Solanum lycopersicum: one gene and its partner. The protein of the gene in region 1 interacts with the protein of each later gene in a pairwise test. Links are inferred from orthologs where the notes say so. Each region holds a gene or a part of one and is shown on either strand. Other genes may lie near its edges. The genes, in order: protein BRICK 1 and protein SCAR3.

Region 1 (9,421 bases):
TTTAATCCTCGTCAAAAATACTTTTTTGACTTTTTTTTTGTTTCAATGACTAATTTATAATTATTATTTTGATAATCAAATTTATTTATGTTTCACTAATACTCTTGTAAAACTTATTGTAGATGACCAAATTTTTTCTTCGAATACGAAATTAAATTACAATACACACGAAAAAAATAGTTTAATTTTTTATTCTTTAAACTAAGGAATGAAAGAAAAAAACCAAATAAGAATAAAAAATTCAAATAATTATAATAAAAGAAGTCAAAAAATAATTTATGTATGAAAAAAATTAAAATATACCCTGAACTTTGATAGAAGAATCATATATACCCCTAAATAATTTTTTTTGAAAAAATAGAAGTAATAAATATAAATTTAAAACTAATCTTTTAAATTCCGTTAAATGAAGGGTATATGTGAGCCATTTTGTAACGACAGGGGTATATGTGAGCTGTTTGTATAACGGTAAGGGTATATATGAGCCACTTTTATAACGAGGGGTATATCAGCTCCAAATGACAAAGTTGATGGGTATATCAGACCCTTTTCCCTATTAATAATAATGGACCATTGGTCCAAGATGAATTTTTTAAAAAAGAAGGTAAGATTCTAACACTTTTTAGTTTTTATCTTAAAATAATTTCTAACATGTGTTTTTCTCCAGAAGATCACAAATCCATGAAGAAGAAAAAATATAATCTATATCAAATACTAAAATGAACATGAAAACTTCTTGTTTGCTCAGCTAATTTCCCAAGAAATTGACCAACAAAAGGTGAAATTGAAATAGATGTAAACTTCAAAAGAAGTTGTAATTGAATTGCAATTGAGCAAGAAAATAAAATATAAAGAAAGAAAGTGAGAAATTTAGAGAGAAGAAAAGAAAAGAAAGTGTACCATTTATCTTTTTAAACGATTTGGGTCGGGTTAAACCTGTATTTAATTGATATTTAAATTAAATTAATTAATTAAAAGGAGAGTGTGTCTCACGCGTGTGAGGTTGATGAGAAAATGAGCCAAAATGGTCAATTTACAAAGATATTTAATACTTTTGTGGGGTAATAGGACATTTACATAGTTAATGTGTCTTTTTAAAAATCTGAGACAACTTCAGGTGTCAATGTCTTTTCTCTTTTGTAATAGATGAGAAAGATGAGAAGTATTATGCTAACGTTTGACTATCTGATAAATATTATTTGAGTGAAAATTTTACCATGTATTTGACCATAGTATTTGGGAATTATATTTCACCTTTTCAAAAAATATGATTTATATTACAAGTTTTAAAAACTATCAAAACAAACCATAAATTTGTATTACATAGCACATGACTTTATTACCCTAAGCCGATTGTTCATCATTTTCATCAATAAATATATCATCACTTTTATAGTCATTGAATTTCAATCACCACTTTGATGTTCACGTAAAAAATTATATAAAACAATGCAAAAAATTACTATGGAGGGTGTTCTTATATAAAAGATAAAAGTTTGGTGTAGAATTTGAATTATTAAAAGTTACCAAATCATGAGATTTGACTCAAATACTTAAGCTAGCGTTTGACCATAGATTTCAAATATTCTTGGCAAATATTATTAGGGTGAAAATTTGGGTGAAATTTCACCATGTGCTTGCTAGTATTTGAGAAATATATTTCACTTTTTTAGAAAAATATGATTTATACCCATAAATTTTTAAAACTATCAAAACTAACCATAAGTTTGTATTACAAGTGAATTGGATTTTCGTTCCAACGATAACAAATAGTGTCCATGACACTAGAGTAATGTGGTAATTTGGAGTGAGTGAAACATGCATCATTCCATACATCATGAAGTAGACAAATCACATGACATTGTTATCATGAGCCTATTGTTCATCATTTTCATCAATAAACATATCATCATTTAATATTCAGTAAATATTTCATCACTATTTTGGTGTTCCGCGTAAAAAATTATGTAATACAATGCAAGCAACTACTATAGAGGGTGTTTTTGTAAAGGATAAAAGTTTGGGGTAAAATTTTAATTTTCAAATATTATTTGGGAAATCTATGGCCAAACGGCTAGCTTTTTTCTATTATTTGGATAATTTACTAAATTATGTCAAATTATATGGACAAATACTATTTACCATATTTTCTCCCAAATTTTACTCGCGAAATTTATATATGGTGAAATGTGCCCTATATTTTATTTATATTTTGAGGTTGATATAGTGAAAGAGACCGTTAGGAGAAGAAAAAAATATTCTTCTCCAAGCTTTTCACAATACAAAAGTGAGGCATTGTAAGTTGAAGAAATGCATATTTCTATTGATGGATATTTGAAATCTTTAACTAATTCTGAGTTGTTTAAATTATATAACATTGTTAGACTGTTGTATCGTTTAAAGAACAGGTCAAGAAATATATTATTGAATCGATGTAAATTATGTCTCAGAAACTTGAATCTCCTTAAAAAAAACAGTGAAATTTTCATAGCTCATTCTAAATATATATTTATTCAATTTATTTTTTAACTACAACTTATATATTACAATAATTTAGTCAAGAAGGTATTGAAGAGATTAAACTCCTAGTAGAATAAACTCTTGTCCTCTGGCCGGAAGATACATTCTGATAGCCCATCTTTTGCAAACTATGTATTGATAACTGAATATATTATGAATCATATTAAGACTCCAAAATATATTATGGAGTATCCACCGTAGTTAGTTATTTTTAATCTTTGATTTACAAAATCATTTGTCAATGTATATATTATCGTTGTTATTAATAGGTGCATAGGTCCATCTCCTATATTTGATGAGAATGTATATTCCTATTATAAACGTGAATTTGTTTATCGATATTCAGGTTCAAGATTAAACACTAATTTTATATGGAGATAAGTATTGAAAATTTTATTTTCTTTTTCTTTTATATATCATTTCAACTTCTTTTCGTTCGTACTTTCTTCATATTATTGATTAAATCTGAATCTTTAGTAATGACAATTTCTATTCATACTGGATCGATTTTTCAAGAAAATATTAATATCAAGATTTTATTGAACTTTCTAATCAAAATAAGTTATATGCAATTACGTAATCTGCAGATAAATAATCTCATTATATATTGATATGGGGTAAAATTCTATTGTTATAATGATTCTAATCCCTCTTGTGAACAAGAGTTAAAGTGTCACTATGAATCGGGGTGTAGTATAACTATTGTGAGGAAAATCAAATGATGTATAAGGTGAAGGGATACATTTGATTGTTAACTGCGTCATGTCATGTGTTCCTATTTGATTTTTCATTAGAGTGAAGAATATATATATATTTTAATTTTTGAATGACAAAGACATTATTCAAAAATATGACAGATTATTTATATACCATTTATAATAGTTTGAATATATTTATCATTTTTTCTCTTTTAAAATAAGTGTAAGAAACATATTTAAATTATTTTTTTTGAATTTTATATCTAAAATATTGAACATATAAGTATGATATCAATTATACGTATTTCTCAAGCCAATATGAAATTAATATTTTAAGTTAAACGTATTTTCGACATTTATATCTATCTTCTTTTTTTTTAGAAAAAAACAGATTTGCAAGTAGAGATGCTTGCCTTTGAAGAACAAAGAAGGTAATCACTATCTCCTCCATTTTCCTTTAACCTAAAACTAATCATTGCAGAATTGTTTGTTCTCCTTCCGCATCTCTCTCTCTTTCTTCTCCGTTGATCGGAAAACAGTGACCAGAAATGGCTCGAGCCGGAGGAATAACAAACGCGGTGAATGTAGGCATAGCAGTACAAGCAGATTGGGAAAATCGTGAATTCATATCTCACATCTCTCTCAACGTCCGCAAACTCTTCGATTTCCTCGTCCAATTCGGTAAATTTCTCTAACTCATTCAATATCCTTAGGGCAAATATTCGGTTTTTGTTAAATTCCTGTTGTAAAGCGATTTCGGTGTTGATTTTGTTCTACTTTCAGAGGCGACGACGAAGAGTAAATTGGCGACACTGAATGAGAAGCTTGATACACTGGAACGTCGTTTGGAACTGCTTGAAGTCCAAGTCAGTACAGCAACTGCTAATCCAGCTCTGTTTAATGTTTGACATGATGCAAGCATTGTACTAATATTCTCAATCTGTAAGGTACTTCAATTCTGTATTATAAATAGATTGCTTTGTTTTGGAGATCATATTTGTGAAAAGTCCTTGTTTTATGAAAATCTCAATCAAATGTGCCTGAATTAGTTAGGTTAGCTATATGAATTTGTGTGAGATTCGGCTCTATTCAAGTACATTATGTTCGGATAGTTAATAATCAGTTGCAATTTTGTGGAAATGATTCATGGAATTTAGTAGCTGCAAGTATGCATACCTATTGGATCTACAGTTTCTTTCATCTAAGTTTTCAGTTCGCTAAAACTACTGTGTTGGTTCATTGCTAATGCACAATGGAGATTGTCTATGTGTAAATTGGAATGATAAGTTGATTTGAGGGGTCAAAGCATTACTATAAATTCTTCAAGACCATCTTAATCTTTTGACCTAGTTAATATGAAGCAAATGTTGTTTATACCTTCTGTAATGCCGTTTTGATATTCTTGCCTGTTTTCTTCATATGGCTTCTTGGAACTTTAATCTGCTGGATCTCAGTCTCTTATTTTTCTCTGTGAGTTGGTTCTTTTCTCATGTGCGATGGAGATTTATATGTGGAAATAGGAACATTGTGCTTGTTCATTTATAAAAGTTACTTTACCTTCTCTGGGAAAAAAATGATCGTTTTACCTTCTCATTTTTTTTCTACTAACTTTTTATGTAATACAATCATGTGAAATGTCATTCTTGTAGTCAGTAACCAATCAACGATGCTTAAACTAAAACTTGTTGTGTCATCTATGTGAATCCTCTAATCCATCCTGCTTCTTTGTAATACTAAAAGAATTATCTTTTGAAGTAAATTAGAGGTTTCTAGATCATACTTGGACATGGAAGCTTTAATTAGGACTTCCTGACTTGTAGCAGTTTTTAATACATCCTTGTTTTTAATACGTCCTTCGTTCCAATTTATGTGGCGTCGTGTGACTGGCACAGAGATTAAGAAATTAAAAAGACTCTTTGAAGTTGTGGTCTAAAACAAGTCAGAGATGTGTCTAGTAGGAAATCCTCATTAAGGGTAAAATAGAAAGTTTAAGTAAGTATGACATTCTGTCTAGGACAGACTAAAGGTGAAAGTAGACACATAAATTGGGACAAAATGAATAATCGTTTTCAATACAGAGTTTAACATAATGAAAGGTTGGACATGAGAATGAAATAGCTTGCTGGCCATATACCATACAGCTATATTCCAGACTGGTTATTGTTAACATGGTTGATTTATCTATTAAGGGTTACTTGGTATTGACTGCTATTGTTTACATGTTTTTCCCTTGCCTTCTTCATACTAGCCACCAGGTTCGTAGTTTAGATTGAGCACTGTTTATTTACAAAGTTATAAGATTATATTAATGTTAAATTTGTAATGGACTTATAGCCTATAGGAGTTAAGTAATAAGTTTTAGTTCTAGTTGGAAGTTGTATTATGTGGAAGTGGACAAGTCCATTAAGAAGATCTGGCAAATGATCCAGCTCGTAATTTTTGGTGTCTATGCGCAGAAAGGAACAAAAGATGTTTTGATGGGACTTCAACTCCTCACTGCTCTCTTAAGTCCAAGTGTTTGATAAATCTCTTTAGAAAGAGCAATCTATCCCCTGTAAATGGTGTCATTCCCCTTTAGATTGTATCAGCTCCCTCTCAGTGTCTTAGCAGCCTTGAGTTCTAGTTTCTTTTATCTGAGATAATTCAACTCTTGTCAAGAAAGAAAAGAAAGAGAATCTGAGATAATTCATTCACATATTTCTCAGATCTCTCAATCCAGAAACACCTTGAATCAAGTTATTTTCTAATTAGCCCTTCAACTTGATCACATTGCTTTCTTTCTATCAAACACATCTCATTTTTACGAAGACATGAAACTTGTGTTTTCAGACCTCATTGACCTGTTGTATCACTGTAACTTTGAGTGCTGAAAGCTCGTGTATTCCTGAAATGGAAGGGTTTACAGGGCAATGAGTATTCTCATTCCTTCCAGCTTCATTTGTTCCCTCCATATTTGATTTTGGGATCTTTACACAAATAGCCAACCAGATTCACTGTTTAGTTTTCCTAAACGCTACACATATATCATCCACGGTTATACAATATTATATTATACATCCGCCGGCTATTTTTAGTTTAAGCTGTTGGGTAGGCAGCTATTTAGGTTAATTCTTCTATTTTCTTTATTTTGATCCTATGGAAATTAACACCCTAGTTGCTGTATAAAGAACATAAGAAGTAAAAGTTTAACACCCTACATACATGTATGGTGCCTGGAAACTTTGACATAACTTACTCTGTCCATCCATCTTCTTTATGTTAACTACGCCTCTATTCCAAGCTAGTTGAAGTTGGTTATATTGATCCTTAATAGCTTGTGAGGATTCATCATATAATGAATAATTACTTGCTGGCCGTCAACCTACCGTAATTCTCTTCTTTTATCCGAGTTCTCAACTTGCAACAGGAAAAATTCTCACAGGCTATTTATGTACTGCATAAAAAACTTCTGAGTTTTTTAAGAATTACAACTTTCCTTTTGATGGTTTATTAAGTTCAACGTCCTTCTAATTCAAACTAGCTATTGTTGCAATTCTTGTTTACAGTTTAGGGATCTCGCCATCTCCTGCTAGTGAAATTTTATTTCCCTCTAGCAATTATGAATGATCTATGTTTTCACAAGATGCTGTTTGAATATTGCACCAAAGTTGGGGTGAGAGAGGGATTTCTTGGACTCAGTAAAACATGTTTGCAGTGAGCCAGTGACTATTCAAGAACTCTATCCTATCTTTTGACCCAAGGATTTCGGCTATCTGATCTCAACTCATTTCATATAATCTTCAAAGTACGGATGTCATCGTTATTATGGAAAGATAAGCCCTTAATAAGCCGTGAGCCGCTGCACAGTCTTTTAACGTACACGGTTACATTTGAGGGTGATTAAGAGTAATTTTCTCTTATTCCTTTTTTATTTTATAAAAGAAGTGATGCTACTTATCAGGGTTTAGGTAGATAAAATCTCCTGTTATTTGATGTCGGCCGAACCCTAAGTTTGGATTGTGCAGCTTTTCAGTGATGTGAGATGTGAAGTTTCAGATTTGTTGTGGATTGAATCTTATTCTTTGATAGGTTAATGCTTCAGTAATTGAATGACCCAGAGCAGTGACGTATAGCAAGCTGCACGTGTTCTTGTGCTATGCTTAGAAAAGAACCAGTGCTTGGATTTTATTAATAGTGGGCATTTATTTAGAAGCTCTCTTACATTTTAGAATCTTCTTCAATGAATAAATAAGGGACAGTTTAAGTTGAAGGAATTTGAAGGAAGTAATTTGTTTGAGAAACTTCCCACCGAATCTGTTATATGTTGCAACAGCCGTAATAGTTTCAAAAAGAAATGTTTTTTAAAAAAACAGCCGTAATCCTTGTGCTGAACAATTATCTCGGCAGTGGAGGAGCTGGTTTTGAAAGGAGGTGATGAATGGATCTATTTCAAATTTAGTGGGTGGAAGGTTAATGGATCTTTCTATTCTATAGAGAAATGATAAGATCTTCCAAACTTTAAATGGACTTCAAAGTCCTTATATCTATTATCATGGCATCTTCAAGCTCTCTTACAATGTTGGCCATGCATGGTTAGTAAGCACCAGCTTCCACAGATCCTCTTCCTTAATACCTCGATGCATAATTTGTTCAACTCTTGTGTTCCTACTATGAAGTTTAACCTGAACATCAAAGAGAACACTTGCAAGTTATTATGCAGATTAAGTAAGGCTGGACAACGGAACGGGATGTACCGGTACCATTTTGGTTAGTCCCGGTTCGGTTGCCTACAGGACTGAACGGGACATCTCGAACCGGGACACGGAACGGAATGGAACCGAGGTTTGGTATCGGTGGTTTATCCCGGTTTCGGTCTGGTCCGGTCCGGTCCGATTTCGATTAATTAATATTTATTAATTAATTAATATTATAATTTATTAATTAATTTATATTATATATTTATAAATTATAATTTATATTTTATATTTTATATTAAATAATAAATACTACCCAAGTAACCCCAACTACTCCCTATTAGTATTATATTAATATTACATTACTATATTAATATTACATTCGAGACTTAGTTGAAACAGAACCTTTCCTAGAAGGTGGTTACATAAACTATGCACCCTACTAGTAGTTCTAAATTGAAATTGTAATTTATAATACAAATTTAAATAAATCAAATTGATATTTTTTAATTTGTGTGATTGTTTTATCCTTATTTTTTTTAATTTTTAAAATTACAAATTTAATTTATTTAAATTACAAGTTATAAATATTACTTATAAATTATAACATATTAATAAATAATAAGTACTAACTTTATTAGACTTAACGTGCAAACTTAAAAGTAAAATTTTTATAAAAAATTATCTTTAAAATAACTTAAGTAAGAAATTACACTATAAATTTAAAAACTATTAATTTAAACTTAGAAAAAAAAAATATTCATATTTCGTAATTAAAAAAAATCATTTTTTGAGATAACTAGATGTGTCATTCCGTTCCATCCCGGTATATAGTGGGACGGGACGGAACTGAGTATCCGTTTCGGTAATTTCGGTTCGGTTCACCCGGTACCGATCAACTCGTCCCATTCTGGTCTGGTTACGGTTCATTCCAGTCTGGTGGTCTCGTTCCGGTTCGTTGCCAGTCTTAGGATTAAGTTATGCAAAGTTGCATTAGTTAAGCAGTTGGCATAAGTTTTATTTTGAATGAACAACACTATGTTGGTTTGCACCTCTATATATTTTTTCTGATTCGAAGAGATTCGTTTATCTTCTTTGAAGATCAGCTGGTGAAGAGGGATGAATACTTTCTCCTGGTAACATAACAAGTTTACTCTTTCGATATTTTGAGAAAGGATGAGTGCAGTAGCCTGCTAGAAAGAGAAGGATTTACCAACTTTAAGAAACTAGCATAAGCAGTGAATGTGCAGTTGTTAAAGGGATATCACTTAGGGAAGTGACAGTGGACACAAGTGGTAGTGGTAGTGGTTATTTAGTAATCCAGTGAGGGGTCTTGTGGCAGTTTGTTTGTTGGTTGTGGGGACAGAATAGAGAGCAGGTATATTGGGCTTATTGGCTATGGAAGAGTTCAGAAAGAAGGTTAAAAACAGTAGTTGTGGCAGCTGTGGTGGGGGCTATGGGAAATGTTGTGGAAGCAATCACTAATGCTTGCATTAGGTTAGGTTGTCTATATCACAATTCACAGGTGAG
Region 2 (8,957 bases), on another chromosome or scaffold:
ATAAAAAAGGTAAACATAGCTGCACTAATCAATATCAAAACCAGACTGCAGACAAATATTCAATCACCAATAGGACAATAATGACCACTCACTTTTGCTCTAATCTGGTGTAGGAAGTCTTCCTTTTCATTGATTCCTCTGCCATTTCCAGCATGATCAGCAAATTGCTGCCCAGTTGTGTCTATTGACTGTGGCTGCTGCATGTGTAAATGTCTTTTTGTCACTTCCTACTTAACCAAGTGGGATATGAAAGCAGAAAGAGAACCTTTAAAACAAAATTTCTGTTCCTTTTGATATTTTGTAGTGGGGTTAGGAAGAATACCTTGCTTTTCAATGTAAATGCAGATTCAATAACTTGGTTTTGCTTGAATGGAGGAGGCTTAGGTTGATGGGAAATGGTCGATCCAGGCTCCTTGTGATCAAACACATGATGGTGTTCGGAGAAAAGATGTAGATCATCTTGTTCGTCATCTAAATGTGATTGCATATTCTGCCACTGCATTGAAGGAAGAGGTGGAGCAGGTGGTGTAGATTCCTTCAATGGCTCTAGAAAATCTCTTGCAGACGTAGTATTACCTACTCCATGCTTGAATGAGGAATGCTGGGTATCCAGAACCGGAAGATCAAATAAGTTATCAGACGGAGAATCCTCCAGAGAGGATTCTGCAAAAGGAATATGGTTTCTACTGCAGGTGTGCAAATCCTGATGAGTTGTTCGGCCATTCTCGAAAGATGTTGAAGTTGACTCAGTTAATGATATTCTATGCAAAGCATTGTATACTTCTTGGTCCTTTAAATTAGGGAAATTACCAGATTCCCACTGTTCAGAGTTTGACTCAGACTGATGGCTAAGATAATCATCTGATAGATCGGGAGATGATCCGGAAAATGTGTCATCATCGGAGTCTGAACCAACTTCTTGCAGAGGAATAGAAGGCTCTGGTACTAGCTGAAATGAAGGAAACATATCATTATTGCTTTCAGGAAATCTGAGCTTCAGTTTCGTAGTCTCAATGCTGTCTATTGGCTGGAATGAAATTTTCATATGTCCAAGTGGGGGTGATGAAGGAGGTGATGTGAAGGGGGACACTCTTCCTGGGAAGTCTTTGATTGTTCTACCCACACATTGTTGGTAGTCATTTATAGGCTCATTGCTTCCAGTGTTGAAAGAACTGGCTGAATCCGTCTTATCATTCCAACCAAGTGAGAGTTTCCCATGGAACCCATTTGTAAGCAATCTATTACCTAGTTCAAGAATACGTGATGAATTCTTTCCGTTCTCTTGACCAGCTAAAATAGGGGATTCTGGACTAACTGTACCGATTGTCCTAGATGTCATACCATATCCATTTGAAGAACTGTGAAGGGGCTTACCAGTGCAGTTTTGCTGGTATAAATTACTTGACTTGTCAAGTTTGACATCTAAATCTTTGGCTGAAAATCTTGATGATATGTTCTTAATAGAAAAGGCAACTCCTTGACCAGAATTTTGGCAATCAGCTTTCTCTCTTGACGTATTCTGTACATCATCTTGTTTCCCTGTATGCTTTTCACTGCTGGGAACAGGATCTTGCCTTGAAGCAATGACTTCCTCATTTTGATTAGATTCATAAACTTGACCAACACTATTTATTACACCATCTGGCGGCTTCGAGGGCTCAAGCCCGAGCAAGCCACCATTTGTCCAGAATTTGACTTTAGGAGTGGCAAGAAGTTGGGGTGGAGGTTTTTCAGAGTCGGAAGGACTACAATGGATCTTGTTGACCACTGGCAATGCTGAAGAAGGATTTCTAGGGCTAGAGGTGATATGATTGCTAACAAGTGGTTCCTCTTGTGATGCTTCCAGAAAATTGGATCTTTTACTTGAAGGGACATCTATAGAACTGTCTAGTTTTAAAGTAATTCCAGCAATCTGCGGAGACGATAAAATCTCATCAAACCCTGAAGAGATATTCTCTGGAATTTCCTTACGTTTTACTTTGTTAGAGAAGGAGAAATCTCCAGGATCAGAGTCAGCAGATACCAAGTTGGTCTTACCACCAAAACCACGGTTCTCAGGGGAATTTCTGGCTGCAGCCTCGGGTATAGGAGTAGACAAATTCCGATCAGAAAGTTCTGCACTATTTACATGGGTTCCATTCAAGGATGATTCAGTCTTCAAACTAGACTCCAGCTCCATTGCTCGTTTTCTTTGGCAATCCAAATCAGTTTCAGACTCTGACTCAATGGTGTTAAGTGCATCCATAAAACTGTCGCTTTCACTTTCAATGTCATCAAACTGGCTTTCATAAGAAATTGACCTTTGTATAATTTCAGCCTCCGGCTCAGAACTTTGCTGTTGAATATTTTCAGAAGTTGCTATATCTAATACCTGTGTATCTAGGACTAGATTTTCTTGAAGTGCCTCCAAACTCTCATCAAAATCATACTTCTGAATACTCAGGTCCAACTGTTCATTCTTAACACTGCTACTTGAGAAAGGTGAACTAAGAACCACCTGCCCTTGTGGAAAATTGTTACTCTCTTCATCAGATATGACCCAAAGCTTTTCATTGGGAGAATCATCTTCTATGGAAGCACTTGGATTCATCTGTAACGGAGAGTAAAAGATTTCTTTAGACTCTACTTCAGCAGTTCTCATCTTATCACTCAAAGCAACAGGCAATAAGTTGCGGCCAATTTGCTCCTCTGTTAAGCTGTTTCCCATATCACTGTACTCATCATCGCCTTTTCGAACAGGGGAAGCACAATCAGGCAAATTATCATGATGAATCTGGGAGGGAGAAGAAAAGGATTCTCTAGATTCTTGTTTCTCACGTCCTGTTTTATCATTCCAAGTAATAGAAGATGTGCAACGATCAGCTTGCTCTTCGGATACAATATTACCAATGTCGTCATAAACAACTTCACGTCTTTCCTCAGGAAAATCATGATTAAATGTATTGTTAAGATGAAGCTGTGAAGTTGAATCAAAGGATCCTTTAGACTCTTGCGTGTCAGGTAGCTTCATGTTCCAAGAAACAGACGTTGAAACAAGGTCAGTTAGCTCTTGTGAAAAATCTTTGTCAATATCATTGAAAGTGTGATCACTCTTTTCTTCGAGAAAAGAATAATCAAACGACTGATTGTGCTGCATTTTTATTGTAGACGAGACAGTCTCAGATTTTCCATCTTCAGGTTGAATAGAGAAACTTGTCTGTGAAACATAGTCCGTCAGACCCGACCCATGTCTCGAATCTATGTCAGATTTGAGGGTTGTATCATATGCGGAGAAACTCTGAACCCAGGAAGGACGCCTATCGAGATTTCTATAAGCAAATTGCATTCTGCAAAAATCACAAAGTTATATTTCAGAAAATTCCGATCTGTAAAAGCTACAAATATACTTCCCCCTACCCCCCTCCCTATCATACATCAATTCTCTAAAGTCACCACTTTTTCTCCATCTTTTCTGTCCGCAAGAGAAGACAAGAAATGCATACCTACTGCCATAATTGGGCATAGACGCACTACGAGAGACTTCTCCATTCCTCCTCCATGATCCTTTCTTCTGTTCAATGTTGACACATATTTGCATTAGAAAACTTCTTGAAATTACTACCAAACAGAAACAAGCTTGCAATAGCTCAAATTTTTGGTTAACATTCATATGCACTTGTTGGAAAATACCAATGGAGATAAATCCTTTTTTGAGCTTATTATAAGAAGCACTACAGAAAGTATATTCTAATATTTCAGGGCCGAAGTAACACCCCGTTAAACAAAAGACCATAGTCTATACCAGGGAATAGAACAAAATCTCAGTGCAAATAAGCTCTGATCCTTTTCAATTTTTACTTATGGAAAGATGACACATAAGAAGCCCATCCCCCTTGCATCTTATGCTCAATCTGCACATATAGTATCACCTTTCATTCCCGTTCTCTGTTAGGAGAATGGTTATGGAAAGACTTAAGATTAATGCAATTATAAACAGACAGTACTAACTTGTGCTTCTAGTAAATGCTTGATGTTCACTGTGCAAAGTTAGATGTCATCAATGTCAAGCACTGGTATGCTCATGGGTTGTGTCTCCTTCCCCGGCTTCCTCTCAACGTTCTTTTTAAAGCCAAACACCTTCAACAACTTCCAATGAGCAACCCCAAAACAAGAAAAATAAAGGAAAAAAGGACAACCCTGTATTGATATATTGGCAGTGGATTCCTAATATTTGGTATAAACTAATACAACTATTTAGTTTTGGACTCTGCTAGGTTTCTATTTATGCCCTCTCTCCCATTCGAGGATAGTAATCAATACATGAGATATAGCTTTCCACACAAAGAAAGTTCTTCAAACCCAAAAGCTAAACAGACAATGCGGAAAAGATGAAAGAAAGGACAATGTCGCGGTCCTTCCTTACCTAGGCCTTACGCATAGTGGGAGCTTAGTGCACCGAACTGCCCTATTTCTTTGTTCCAATTGACAGTGTAAGTTATATATTAGTTAATTTAGTTTATTTAGATGAAAATGCTATGTCCAAAAGAGAATATAATATGAACTACCACTTGAATATATTTCATAAATTTGTGCAAAAGATATTGTTGATATGCTTCTTTGCTCTATTAAATGTATCAACCAGTGAGGAATCGGTGTTTAGTTTTATTGAGTTATTTGCTTGAAAAGAACTTTAACAATAAAAGATCTGGTTGCAATTTTTCTTTGTTGAAAAGACAGTTCCATCATGTTATTAATTAACATACTGGTCTTTTTTTTTTAATCTGCTAAATTCATGTGATAGTTTACAATCAAAGCTAATTTCATTTTCATTTCATTCAGTTTTCAATAATTGTATCTCATTTTATGTTTCTTTATCTATGTGTATAGACTAATACAAATTTATACTCCTAAATCTATATATTTGACATAGATGATCTTCTCCCGATGAATCCAATTTCTAGCTATCCTTGCTAATTATATGGTTCTAACCTATCCCATACAGCATACTTCTGGCTCTACCTATATGCAAGGCACATTATGGAGAGGCTTTCATTGATGTGTGTGTACTTGTATTTTACTATTTAAGATGTAGTTCTTCAACTTTATAATATCCTTTGTGTCCTGTGAATAGATACGAGGATACTGCTCATAAAAATCCCAAGTCAATCTACACTAGTTAAGCTGTGGCAGGTATTTCAGAATAATTTGTGAGATACCTTAATCTTCCGACCCTTCTTTTCTTTAAGGACTTTGGCAATATATTCTTCGTCTGACCCAACAGATGCTCTCTTAAAGAAAGTTGGATCTGAATACCTTTTCAAGCAAGATCCAGGTCCTCCAGGGTCAAATCTGAAGAGACAAGTAAAAATTTTATGAGTGTAACAGTGCAATCAGGATATACAAATATAGCTATAAAGGTGAGTTCACATACTTGTCAAGCAAATGCAAGCGTGGCGGAGCATGACACTCTTCGTACGAATCCATGATAAATCTTGGCAAGTCATTGTATATAAAATGATTTTGTTCACTACGGATACGGGCATGCCAATTGGATCCTGCATACCAACTGCTTCCATAAAAAAAAAACTCGAGCAGGAAAAGAAGCCATTTGATCTGCGGAAATAGATATTCCAAATACACCGAAAGTGAAGTATTTCCTACAACCAACACTTCATTTGTGGAACTATTTGGAACATCATTTGTATCATAGATAGATATATCTGAGCGAGATAAATAAAACCAAATCACCCCCGTTCCCACTATCTTCTATCATCAGTAGAAGAAATCCAGTAATTGAGATTAAAAAGTCATACCAGCTGTATAAGCAAAGTGTAAATGACTCTGTTGCGCCAATACTGATTTCTCAAGTGGAGGAAGTGCAGCTTCAATTTTTTGCACCCGAACAACCAACTTATTGCTTCTCGAGGATGTAACCATCACTTGCTCTTGTAAGCCATGAAACACTTCCGCTGCAAATCTACAAGTACAAAACTTCTCTTAATTACTATGTTTTAAGCATTCAAAAACTCAGCAGGAAGTCCTGAATTGATATAGCTCATACAGATTATACGTTGTAGTTATAACCCATCTAAGAAATGGTAAATGCTGGGCCAGCATTGTCAAAATGTAGTTTAATGTGAGCCCCGCCCCACAAGGATATAGCTTACCGGTCAATGATGTTTTAATGAAGACCATGAGATACCAAGGTTGAAATTCTAGCAGAGGCAAAAAATTAAGGTGATTTCTTCCCATCTGCCTAAGCCTTGATAGGTAAAGTTACCTGATACATGATCCTGTATTGGTGTAAAGATGCAAGTATCTGTGAAATCGTTGAGGTGCATGCAAGCTGGTATAGAAACTCTATTATATACCATGTATAAGAAAAAGAAGAGGAGTTCAATGTGGTGAACTTCCCTTCTTATCAGAGGTTAATGGCTCTTGCCTTTTGGAGGAAGAAGTAATGAGTTGTGCTTAACTACGCATTTGATTTTTGTAGGGAAGAATTCTTTTGTTGCTTTTGGATAGTTTTCTGAGTTTTAGTTCTAATATACATATATCTGCAGATAACTTAAGTGCTCTGAATTAGCCATCAGTTATTTGGAGCTGATGTTGATATTGATATATAAGTTGCAGGGGGTATTTCAAACAGCCAATAATAATATGTTTGACCAAGCTTCTGAGAAGCCAAAAGTGTTTATATTAGAGAATAGGGGTGTTTGTATGGTAAAATTAAAAGCTTATAGTAGCAGAAGCTGGAAAAAAGTAGCTTTTTCCCAGAAACACACCTGCAGCCTTGGCCAAGTGCAAATTACTGCTCTAATATTGGCAAAAGTGCTTACCAAATTGATTAGCCAAACACAAACTGCTAATCTTCAAAATCACTTTTTCAAAAAACTACTTTTGACAACATAAAAACACTAATTAAAATAAGCAGGTTTTCGCAGCTTGGCTAAAGTCTAAACAGGTGAAGTCTCAAAAGTGTTTAACATTTTGCCTTATCCTTTAAGATCAACACAAGGTTCTAAAAAGATTGGGGGTACATACTATTATCTATTGCTCTATAGTAATTTTGGTCTTCATTTGGTGGAACGAGATATATGTAAGTTTACTCTCAGTTTAATGGCCATAGAGTAAGTTGAACGCACTATACATATACCCCACTCGTCTAAATATTTTTTCACTTCACAATTCTCTAGAGTCAATATGACAAAACCCTTTACCACAAATTTCTTTGGTAAATCTGTTTGCTATCTTCAAATCAAAAGTTTATCCTTTTCTCATTTTCCACAAAATTCAGTCAACTTAACTTAGGTAGATCCGAAGTAACCAAATTAAACACAAAAAGGAGTTACCTTCTTCTTCTTTTTTCTTATTTATAAGACATCTTTTTTCTCCTAATTCAAATGACATTTTTCCAATTGAAATAGCCAGAAGTGTTTAACATCACTAGTATAGTTTCAAAAATCCAAATCAAACAACAACTACTACACCTCATTCTCAAACAAGTTAAGAGGTGAACTATATGAATCCCGACTTCTTCATTTAAGCTCATTTTGTATCATCGTCATACTAAATAATAAAATGAAAACTAATTTCAAATATATATAATAAATAATAAAAACTATAATACTATAAGTTCTCTAACAAGTCTAAAACCTATTCTCAACTAGTAGCATGACATATATGAATCTTTACCTTTCATTGTGCCCTATCATTAGTCAAGTCTGCATTGATGCAAAGGAAAATTTAAACCACATTAACATTTTATTTCACTACTTATATATAATCTACCAATCAAACTAACATACTTGTGTCATGAAAAGTGGAGCTGAGGAACAACTTATTTTGCATGCACCAAACTAGGGAAATAATTATGAAAGATTAAAAACAACAAGAAAGAAATATGCTGATAAAAAGGAGCAAAATCAGATAATTCCTTCTCATCGAAAAAAAAGTGTAAATTAACTAAGCTATAAACTTAATTCGAAATTTAGCCAATTTCAGCTCAACTAATTTGAATTCAGCAATACATCCGTTTAGTTAGTACAAACAAAGTTCGATTTTTTTCAGAGAAATTACTTCAACTTCACCACAATATAACAAAATAGAACTCAACAAAAAAAATCAAAGATAAAACTTTTTCCGGAAAACGCTCACTGAGATTGAACTTTAAAGCTGGCAAAGAGCAAAGAATGAAAACAATGTGTTCAAAAAATTTGTGAAAAATGGAAAAACGTACTCAGCGAGATCGCCGAGCTGACGCAAGATCCCGACGAGTCCAGCGACTGCAACTCCGTCAAGCACCGCCTTTGGATCCTCTTTCTCGGCGTCTCGGTACAATTCCGGCGTTCCCAATCCGTACACATTCCTCACCGCAGTTCTCACCAACGGCATCGTTCCGTTTCACCTCTCTCTCTCTCTCTCTCTTTCTACTTTGCCTACAAGTATTCTTTAATTGAATGTGAGAGAATTAATAAATATATGAGAAATAAATGATGAAATGATGAGAGAGAAAGTAAAAGAGGGGTAGTTGAAGGAGTGGAGCAGCTTAACTACTGGGTTAGATAGAGAGAGTGATGTATAGAGAGAGAAAACTTGTATATGTAGAGAGAGAAAACGATGGGTCTATAGTTTTCAGAGTGAAAATGGTGAATTCGTCCAAAGAGAAACGACATTGCCAACTCTGCAAGCCATGCTTCCTGGGTGGGTGGTATCATTACAGGTTGAACAACAGTAGAAAGACTGTCTTGCCCTTAAAGACTAATCAAATTGCATTTTACCCTCCTTAAGTGAATTTGATATTACCCTTTGTATTTATTTTAGGGAAAATTCTATTCAAACTAAATAATACAGTCATAGTTCATTTTATTTATTATTGACCGATATTTTTTTGTCATTTACTTTATATTGAAATATATGAGATATTATTATGACAAAGGATAAGAAAAAAATTCCGAGCTTTGATTCAAATTTTTCTA

Evidence for each region.
Region 2: the proteins of protein BRICK 1 (region 1) and protein SCAR3 interact in binary tests that used the Arabidopsis thaliana proteins (3 or more experiments, as listed by UniProt). The link is inferred for Solanum lycopersicum from reciprocal best matches to the Arabidopsis thaliana genes BRK1 and WAVE2.

The regions. Positions count from the first base shown.
Region 1 is NC_090802.1:8,361,726-8,371,146, forward strand, and holds the start of protein BRICK 1, read left to right. Parts: upstream 1-3,548; 5' UTR 3,549-3,649; exon of another isoform or gene 3,650-3,757; 5' UTR 3,758-3,766; coding exon 3,767-3,899; intron 3,900-4,001; coding exon 4,002-4,126; 3' UTR 4,127-4,165; exon of another isoform or gene 4,166-4,358; intron 4,359-6,763; exon of another isoform or gene 6,764-7,302; intron 7,303-9,421. UniProt on the Arabidopsis thaliana protein: Involved in regulation of actin and microtubule organization. Part of a WAVE complex that activates the Arp2/3 complex.
Region 2 is NC_090801.1:58,159,806-58,168,762, reverse strand, and holds the start of protein SCAR3, read right to left. Parts: upstream 8,669-8,957; 5' UTR 8,374-8,668; coding exon 8,219-8,373; intron 7,704-8,218; exon of another isoform or gene 7,695-7,703; coding exon of another isoform or gene 7,675-7,694; intron 5,957-7,674; coding exon 5,793-5,956; intron 5,546-5,792; exon of another isoform or gene 5,535-5,545; coding exon 5,411-5,534; intron 5,329-5,410; coding exon 5,196-5,328; intron 3,551-5,195; coding exon 3,483-3,550; intron 3,327-3,482; coding exon 323-3,326; intron 198-322; coding exon 93-197; intron 1-92. UniProt on the Arabidopsis thaliana protein: Involved in regulation of actin and microtubule organization. Part of a WAVE complex that activates the Arp2/3 complex. Regulates trichome branch positioning and expansion.